Linked DNA regions of Bombyx mori. The protein of the gene in region 1 binds, or shares a complex with, the protein of each later gene. Links are inferred from orthologs where the notes say so. Each region holds a gene or a part of one and is shown on either strand. Other genes may lie near its edges. The genes, in order: GPI transamidase component PIG-T and phosphatidylinositol glycan anchor biosynthesis class U protein.

Region 1 (4,378 bases):
GGTTAATCGTTTCTTAAATTTCTAAATGTTTATAAGAATGCTAAGAATAATTTAGTATTCACTTTAGTGTGTGTATTATCTCTACAATGCTAGTATAAATGACAATTATTGTATGACGAAGCATAGGTAGTGTTTATAGATGTAATATTTTCATACAAGGTCATGATCTGTCACGATCAACTTTAAGCAAGAACTGCTATAGTTAAGAAACAAATTTATTAAATTTAATTCAAATTGTCTACTATGTTTGTAATGGAAAGCTGACATGTTTATATTTCGCACAAATGACTTAAGTGACATTGAATGATTTGATTATCTAGACTTAATTAACTTTTAGATAACTTTCGATTAAGTACTCTAGTAGGATTAATCTAGAGGAGTTATTGTTATTCGAAATTTTATACAATTGTACGTTCATACTATCTTTTAACAGTAAATTGTTTGTAATATAGGGAAATTAAATAGCTTACAGAGAATTACAGCTTTTTATTTAAAAAAACTGTTTTCTCTCTGTATGAAAAGGTCTTATCGATTAGAATGCTGAACACAATCAAACGTTCTTTAATATTTCATAAGTACTACCGGGAATTTCAGCGATTCTAAACGATAAGATTTTTTCATAAAGAGAGTTAATTATAAAAAATATTAAAATTACTAAAAAAGCCACCTGGTGGGGGGTAGGGAGACTAATAATCGACAGCAGCGACGCCTGCTGTCCCGGGCTCTAACTAAAGCAAAAATAAAAATGAGAGTTGCGCATCTATCTCAAATATATTAAGTGTATAATCTATGCCCGAACTGTCAATGAATGATCGTAATAAACAATCATAGACCTTAGGTTTCCTACTTCAGTGTAAACAATTAAATGAGTGACATTTTCAGTAGATACCGTAAAATGGGGTGATTAGGGATCGAGAGGTGAATGGGGAAAAAACCAGGAAAATCTTTCGACGCGCAATACTAGTTTTTTAATCGTTGCAAAATCTTCCATTTTTTGTAGTGTAATAATATAATGAGATGAGATGATATGGGATGAAATATAATCTCAGTAAAATTGTGGTCATTTACTGAGACTTTTTCGTTGGACTTTTTGGAGAATCCCGAGAAGTGACGTCCAGCGACTTTGTTTCATTTTCCCACATTTGTGCACTTTCACAAATATTAAACAGTTAATAAACCACCATCATTACACATTTAAACCTGAAGAAACACCAAATAGACAAAATAAAACAAATCACACAACTTCATTCCTCGCGTTCCCGCCAAAAAGTCCGCTTTACTCCAATTTCCCCAGTATTGCTAGCGTCAATTTCTTTTTTCTCTTTTCGCCATCAGATCCTGGTAGACCCATAGAGTTACTACTCTAAGGTAGGTACTTACTTGTAGGTACTTATTAACTCCATGGGTAGACCTATAATATTATTATCTATGGAGTTTATTTCAGAAATTATATAGAACAGACAAGACTGTATGGGCTTAGATCCCCTTGCCTTTCCTAATAACGAAAAATTGGACCAAAAAAATATATATCTATGAAGCTAGATTGCTATTATCTATGGAGCTAGATAGATAAAGTTAAAAATTAAAAGCCGATTTGCAAAGAAATAAGAATTTAATTATGCTCTTTGAATTAAATTGCAATATATGTATGTGTTAGGTATAATCAAATTAAAAGACAAATTTAAACAGGATGTTTAACTCGAAAAACTTTCTGTTTTTTATTGCCGTATTCATTGAGACAATTTTTAACGCTAATGGTGATTTATTTAATGAAGAGCTATTTATTAAACCTCTACCACCGGCACACCTTTACACATATTTTCAATTTACTACCTTAGTAAATGATAACCTGTCATGTAAGTGCAGTGCTCACTATTTAGCAACTATGTTTTTGTATGACGGCTTTTTTATAAACATAGTTTTGGATATTTATTTTACAAAAATGTTTTCCAGCCGAGCACACCTATTTAGCACCTAGGTCTTTGGTGGAAGTGTTGACACGATTCCAAGTTGATGAACTGCATTTCACACTAACCGAGGGGCAGTGGAGGCATAATCATTGGGGTTATCCTGTGCTTGATGCAGCTCCTGGAGCAGAACTATACGCTTGGTTTTCCTCAGATGTGGAAAATGTTGATACACAATGGAAAAAATTAAGTTCCACCCTTGCAGGACTGTTCTGTGCATCTTTAAATTTTATTGAAGATTTCAACACTATAACACCTCAAATGGCATTACAACCGACCGGTGCTATACCACAAAATCCTAATATAACATCACAGTTACGCTATGCTTCTCTGCCTAGAGAAATTGTATGCACAGAAAACTTAACACCATGGAAGAAACTTCTTCCTTGTGAATCTAGTAGAGGGCTTTCAGCATTGTTAAACTCAAGAATGATACACAATACCAATTATCATTCTATTGGAGTTCATACAAGAAAAGTGTGTTCATCTAGTGATTGTTCAGTAGTGAGCCTAGAGATAAAGCAAACGGTAGCTTTGGTTTATGATTCTAAGATTATTCGAACCACTGATTGGTCTTTTACTAAATTATTTGGCCAAGGGTTGCCTGGTGGATGCCCTCTTGCATCAAGTAGCAAAGTGTATGTAGATATCACCACCAATGATACCCAGCCATTCCTTCTATCTCCAGAGCCAGAAAAGGTTCTACTGTCACAGCGAGGAGGCAGTGAAACAAAACTTGCTCTGTACACAATTAAACCTGAAAACAAAATGACTACTATTGGAGCCAAATATATCAGTAAGAAAGATTTGGTTCTTATGAAACTGCCCCCACTTTATTTCAATCGTTATGTATTAGGTTATGGAAAGGAATTTGGAGGTATTGTGACTGAACTGACCAATACTTTTTGGTCCTCCATTGATGTTGTTGTATTGCAGAATGCGCCTTGGTGGTTGCCTATTCAATTAAGCTCTTTAAGAATCAACGGGGAAGCGTCAAGTGAGATGGTGTTAGCTAGGCATTATTCACCTGGGCGTAGCAGACAAAAACCTTATCACTTGGAGTTACTGCTGAGGCTACCACCTAAGTCAGCAACTAAGATAACTATTGATTTTGAATTCGTATTCTTAAAATGGCAAGAGTATCCACCAGATGCTAATCATGGCTTTTATGTTGGGTCAGCAATAATAACTGCTAATTTACCAACAGCAAGAAATTATACTAGTTTACCAGGGACTGCAAGCTTATTTGAATCTTCAATTAATGCATCAAAACCATGTAAGCAAAAATAGATATTCAATTTTGACCTAAACTACATTGTAAATAGTTTTTGTTTTGTGTTCCTAACAATAATATAACTTCCCTAGATTTTGGTACAATTTAGTATTTTCCCACAAGTACATTACAGCATCAGTTCATACAATTCAGCAATGTCTAACTGCATTTTTTTTTTCCAGGGTATCCTGCAGTATTTCGTACTAATGGTGTGATGGTATCATTACCAACACCAGACTTCAGTATGCCATATAATGTGATATGTCTTGCTTGTACAGTTGTGGCCCTTGCTTTTGGACCTCTGCATAATATTTGTACAAAAGAATTAGTTCTCAAAGTTGTTGGTTCTTCTGTTACTTTAAAACAAAAGATTATTAATTTATTTAAAAAGAAAAAGGAGTGAAATTTTCATAAATTTGCAATACCAAATAAATTGTATAAATAAAATAAAAAAGCTTTAATAATTAATTTATTCTGTTTCACATAAGATATCTATAAATAAAATCCTATAATTGGAATCTCAGCTAGAGGGAATAAGCCCTGATAGGAGGAACACTTTAATTATTAACTTAGAGTGAAGAAAATCGTGAGAAAAAGGAAATAAAAATAAGTCTCTCTCAGAGGAGCTCAATAACAAGCATGGACACCTTTTTTTTTTCTTTTTTTTTCTTTCGGGTAGAAGGCCGAACCTCCTACGAGGTCCCCGCGCCTAGGTGGCGCGCGGGGTATGTGAGACTCAACGATCTGCAGGTGTTGAGAGCAGATCGCGGGCCCAAGGGTTTTAGGTCCCACCCACTAAACGACTCCCCTGCACTCTTACACCCGACGTCCGAAATCCGTCCGGGGTCAGAACCCGTTCAGAGTAGAGGGGTTCCCGCGGTCAACACTACAACCAGACACGCGGCGCCACCCCGAGGACGCCCGACCGACGGGTCGTCGAGGCGATAGTCGACGACCAACGACGTCAGTCTCCGCGGTACGGCGGCCCTACCAGGCCGCCCGGGCGGTGCCGCAGGTGTTCCGGGATACCCCGCTGGGCCAGAACCAGCCTGCCGGGTCGGAACGCGATACACCGCCGACCGGGTTGCTCTTCAACAGTATGTTCGGCGACGACAGCGACGACGAAAATGCGGACCGC
Region 2 (4,436 bases), about 1.6 Mb from region 1:
AAATTTTCCTTAAATAATTAATAGTTCTGTGATATTTTGTTTTTTTTAGTAAGTTGATGTATCTTTATTAGGTATATAGGTATGACGGGTAAAATTTGATTTATTAGGCATAGAGATTAGAACATAATTAGAAGCAATAAACATTCAAAGCAAATTAAATCTGTCTCCAAATTGAGTTGCCAGTATGTTAAACCTTGGGATCATCTTACTGACAATATGACAGCTTAAGTCGAACAAACTGCCTAATTTCAAGATACACCTATTTTAAATAGTAAAAAGTTTTTAGAAATTTAATTATGAAATAACTGGTTGGTTAATATGAAAATAGGATATGAAAATGCATTTTGAGCCATAAAATATCCTTCAAGCAGGTTTCGATAACATACTGATCGGTTCGCGGTGCCAGATATACTTAAATCATTTTCAACCTAGTAATATATATTTTTAAATTGTCAATCAACTTTTGGACAATTTTGGTGTATGGGATGGCTCTGAAAAATAGCCTGGAAACTCGTGTATGGCCAGACGCAGCCCAGACGAGTCTATGGTTAGCCTGATTATATCGTCGCTTATTTTTGTAGTGTCAGGTTTTCAGCTGAAACTACCTAGTGTAGTATGCACTATAGCACACAGTAATTATTGTAATTATTAATAATTTTGAGAAAATAAATAATATATGATGAGAAATAGAGTTTTGTTTGTTATTTATAATACACATTAAGATCCACCTACAAGCAGCTTACAAAATTACATACAGAGAAAATACCAAATGTCTTATTATATTATATCTGACCTAACCGACCTGGCAACACACAGCTGCCATCGCCATAAGATATTGAGTATAGTTTTGATTTGTACTTCGGTGGAAATTTTGTTTATCCCGAACCCCAGGGCGTAACATAATATACATGTTACAACTAAAATCTTAACGTCGGGGCTTTAATTCTATACTTAGAACGCTACAATTTTTTCGGGTTCGCCATTTCTACAATCAAGATGCTAAGGTGACAAATAGCAAGGGAAGGTCTTCCACCGATCATGTGCTAAAGAAAACGAGCGCGAGCATTGTTCATCAGAGCTTATTAGACAAGAATGTGACTTCCTTTTTATAAAGATTTTATGGCCTGATGGCGGTGATACAATAATCTACATGGTGGGGTCCACTAATATAATATAGTGCATGTTATTATCTAATATATATTTATCCATTAAATATCTAAGGATTACGTTTTTACAAGACCATCTTACATATTCCCTGGTGCAATAAATAAATTTTCACTTTTGTTTTATGGTTGTCTTTCGTCCGTGGTTGAAAATAGACTCGAACAATATATAAACTCTTTGCTATTTCTGTTCAAAAAAAAGACAGTGACAATGACAATGACAGTTAGGCTTGTTTCCTTTCCAATGTCGAACGAAAAGTCAGAAAAGATAGTAATTGGGATGAAAACGAATTAAAACGATTGAAGTAGTATATATAACGAAGTCAATATTATGTACCACATACGTCCTTTACATTGCAAATATTAATAAGTAATTAATCAAAAAATGGGTGCGGTTGTAAAATATGTAATAGCCGGCTTAGTTAGGTATTGGCTTATTCATACAGACTTTTGGCATACACTATCCAATAGGGTAGAAATAGCGACTCCCTTAAATTCATGGAAGAGGTTAATTGAAGGTGTTTATTTATACGACCAAAACATTAATCCGTACGAAGGAGATGCTTTCCACGAATCACCGATAGTGTTAGTGATTTTCCATTATCTTTTAAAACATGTCCCGTATAGCCTACCATTTATATTCAGTGCAATGGACCTCCTCACTGCGTATCTTCTCTACAAAACCTCGAGAGGTTTTGTCAGAATCTTCCTTAACTGTCAAGAGAAATATTTATCAGATGTGTCTCAGGAATCAAAGGATATGGTTATGACAGAAAGTCAGTTAAAAGAGACATCTGAATATGTTCTGTCTGTCTATTTATTTAATCCATACTCTATATTGAACTGTGTTGGGATGACAACAACAGTTTTGCAGAATATGTTGTTAGCTGCAGCACTTTGTGGTGCGGCTCATGGATATGTGATAATATCCTGTGCGTTCTTAGCCTTTGCTACTCATCAAGCATTATACCCTGTCTTACTGATAGTACCAACGGCTATGATATTGGCTGAAGTGAACAAGGGATGTAATAAATGTTCATATATTAAAACATTGTTGGCCTTTGTTTTGAGTTGGAGCTTTGTGGTTTATATATCTGCATTTATAATGGATGGTTCTTATAATTATGTTTACAATACATATGGTTTTATGTAAGTACTTTCTTCTAATATTAGTCAGTCATAATTTTATTTTAAACTAGATAATAGAATAAGAAACTAATTAACTTTGTATTTGTAACATAATGGTATGGTAATGGTAAGACATCCAATGTACTTGTATCAAATGTTAGAACTATGTTAAGATTCAATGTTGTCATGAATACAATTACCATTTAAATATGTAACTAAAATGTCATCAATACAAAATTTTGACTGTTCACACAACAAAATGAAATAGAAATAATAGCCTGTAAGAAACTTTAAAGTACATTATTAATATTAATAGTTCTGTGTGTGAATTTTCACCAGTAGACAGAACCATCTTTGGCTATGTACTGTAAAGCTTTTACCCAGCAGTCCCTTAAGACTTACTGTTAAACTATACAATTGAGTCTCATTATCAATGTGATTTCTACAATTTCTATTAATCAGTAAATACATAGTGCAGCAATAAAATAAAAGAAGAGTAGTTGATTTTGAATTTCTTTGAAAGTGTCAATCGAATTATATAAACATATGTATACTCATAATTTCATATTTAACATGTTTCCAGATTGACTGTTCCAGACCTAAAACCAAATATTGGACTTTTTTGGTACTTTTTCACGGAAATGTTTGAGCACTTTAGATTACTGTTTGTATGTGCTTTCCAAATAAACGCCCTGATACTGTACATAGTACCATTGACTTTGCGATTTAAGAAGGAACCAATATTATTGGTGACTGTGCTATTAGCACTGTCAACTGTATTCAGATCTTACCCTTGTGTGGGTGATGTTGGCTTCTATATGGCATTCATACCAATGTGGAAACACCTTTTTACATGTAAGTGCTATTATATAAGATAATAAAATGAAGAAAAATATTTTAAAATTTATGATGCACTCTTCATTTCCATATAATTCTTATCGCTAATTCTTATAGTTTAAAAAATAAATTTTTTATTTAAATTATTCTTTATTGCCCTTCATTCAGCTATTAATAAAAAAGATAAAGCATAAGAGCTATTTATAGAAAAATATGAATTTTTATAATTTCTGAGTTTACTCATAATCTTTATATATATTTTTCAGTTATGCAACAAAAATTTATTGTTGCCTGTGCATTCATCATTACTTCAGCTTTGGGACCGACAGTATGGCATTTGTGGATATATTCTGGATCAGCTAATGCCAACTTTTTCTTTGGTGTCACCTTATCTTTTGCAACAGCACAAATATTCCTTATAACTGACTTATTGTTTGCGTATATTAAAAGAGAATATACTCTTAAGAATGGATCTTCGAGGACCATTGATGGAAAACCTGCCAAATTAGTTCTGCGATAATGACAACTGTAAACTGAAATGACAGAAATATGCATAAAACTTGTACAATGACTTCTTATGTGTAGCTTTAGCATTCAGAAAAAAAAAACTGTTATGCAGATGTCTGAATGTTACATTTGTGCAGTAATATATTACATATTGAAGACCAAAAAATTTTTTCATTCTTAAGTAACATCTCCATATCACCATTTCGTTGAATAGAGTATGTTGATCAGTTGAGACAGTATACATTCATTCAATTCTGCATTTAAATTAGTAATTTTAGGGTATTATAATATAAGACAAGAAGCAAAGACTTGTATAACTAATGACTGTAACTAAATTAATGATAAAATGCATACAATCTTTTAAGTACAGCTAAAATATTTTCTATATCTGACTGTCACTTAGTACTATTCAATATTCATAATTAATATGTATAGTTACTTTATTAGTCGAAGAAAGAAATATTTTTTAGCTCATGTGTTCATTTCGTTACAACTTGTTTTTTAGACATATTTGATATTGCTTTAAAGTTATTAATATTGTATTTGACTGTTATATCATATCAAACTGTCGTTACAATTTTTAGTTACTGTTTGCACAAAGATAAATGTCAAAACATACAGTATTTTTTAACAAAATTAAAATTAACAACTTATTGGATTGAAAATGTAAGAAGAAAAGCTACAAAAGTTTATCGAATGCAAGACTTACTGTGACATAAGTTTAAATCTTTATCATATACGCTATACATTTCGGTAAGAACATGCACACACAGATTTTGCCTAATTGAAAAAGTGTATTTT

What was found.
Region 2: the proteins of GPI transamidase component PIG-T (region 1) and phosphatidylinositol glycan anchor biosynthesis class U protein are in contact, whole or in part, in a cryo-EM structure (PDB 8IMX), measured with the Homo sapiens proteins. The link is inferred for Bombyx mori from reciprocal best matches to the Homo sapiens genes PIGT and PIGU. Residues at the interface, in NP_057021.2 of Homo sapiens: Tyr361, Gly362, Leu363, Gln364, Lys365, Arg394, Leu395, Tyr396, Val397, His398, Tyr416, Pro418, Ala419, Gln420, Asp421, Arg422, Gln445, Glu447, Leu450, Leu451, Lys452, Trp453, Thr454, Pro518, Thr519, Pro520, Asp521, Phe522, Ser523, Met524; in NP_536724.1 of Homo sapiens: Glu30, Lys42, Arg43, Val45, Glu46, Ser49, Leu50, Leu53, Val55, Ser59, Gly60, Ala61, Val62, Pro265, Asp266, Leu267, Pro269, Leu273, Trp275, Tyr276, Phe277, Phe278, Ala279, Glu280, Met281, Phe282, Glu283, Phe289, Phe293, Asn296.

The regions. Positions count from the first base shown.
Region 1 is NC_085111.1:7,582,973-7,587,350, forward strand, and holds GPI transamidase component PIG-T, read left to right. Parts: upstream 1-1,458; 5' UTR 1,459-1,690; coding exon 1,691-1,856; intron 1,857-1,953; coding exon 1,954-3,243; intron 3,244-3,422; coding exon 3,423-3,643; 3' UTR 3,644-3,708; downstream 3,709-4,378. UniProt on the Homo sapiens protein: Component of the glycosylphosphatidylinositol-anchor (GPI-anchor) transamidase (GPI-T) complex that catalyzes the formation of the linkage between a proprotein and a GPI-anchor and participates in GPI anchored protein biosynthesis.
Region 2 is NC_085111.1:9,170,562-9,174,997, reverse strand, and holds the start of phosphatidylinositol glycan anchor biosynthesis class U protein, read left to right. Parts: upstream 1-1,387; 5' UTR 1,388-1,548; coding exon 1,549-2,312; intron 2,313-2,874; coding exon 2,875-3,146; intron 3,147-3,394; coding exon 3,395-3,648; 3' UTR 3,649-4,436. UniProt on the Homo sapiens protein: Component of the glycosylphosphatidylinositol-anchor (GPI-anchor) transamidase (GPI-T) complex that catalyzes the formation of the linkage between a proprotein and a GPI-anchor and participates in GPI anchored protein biosynthesis.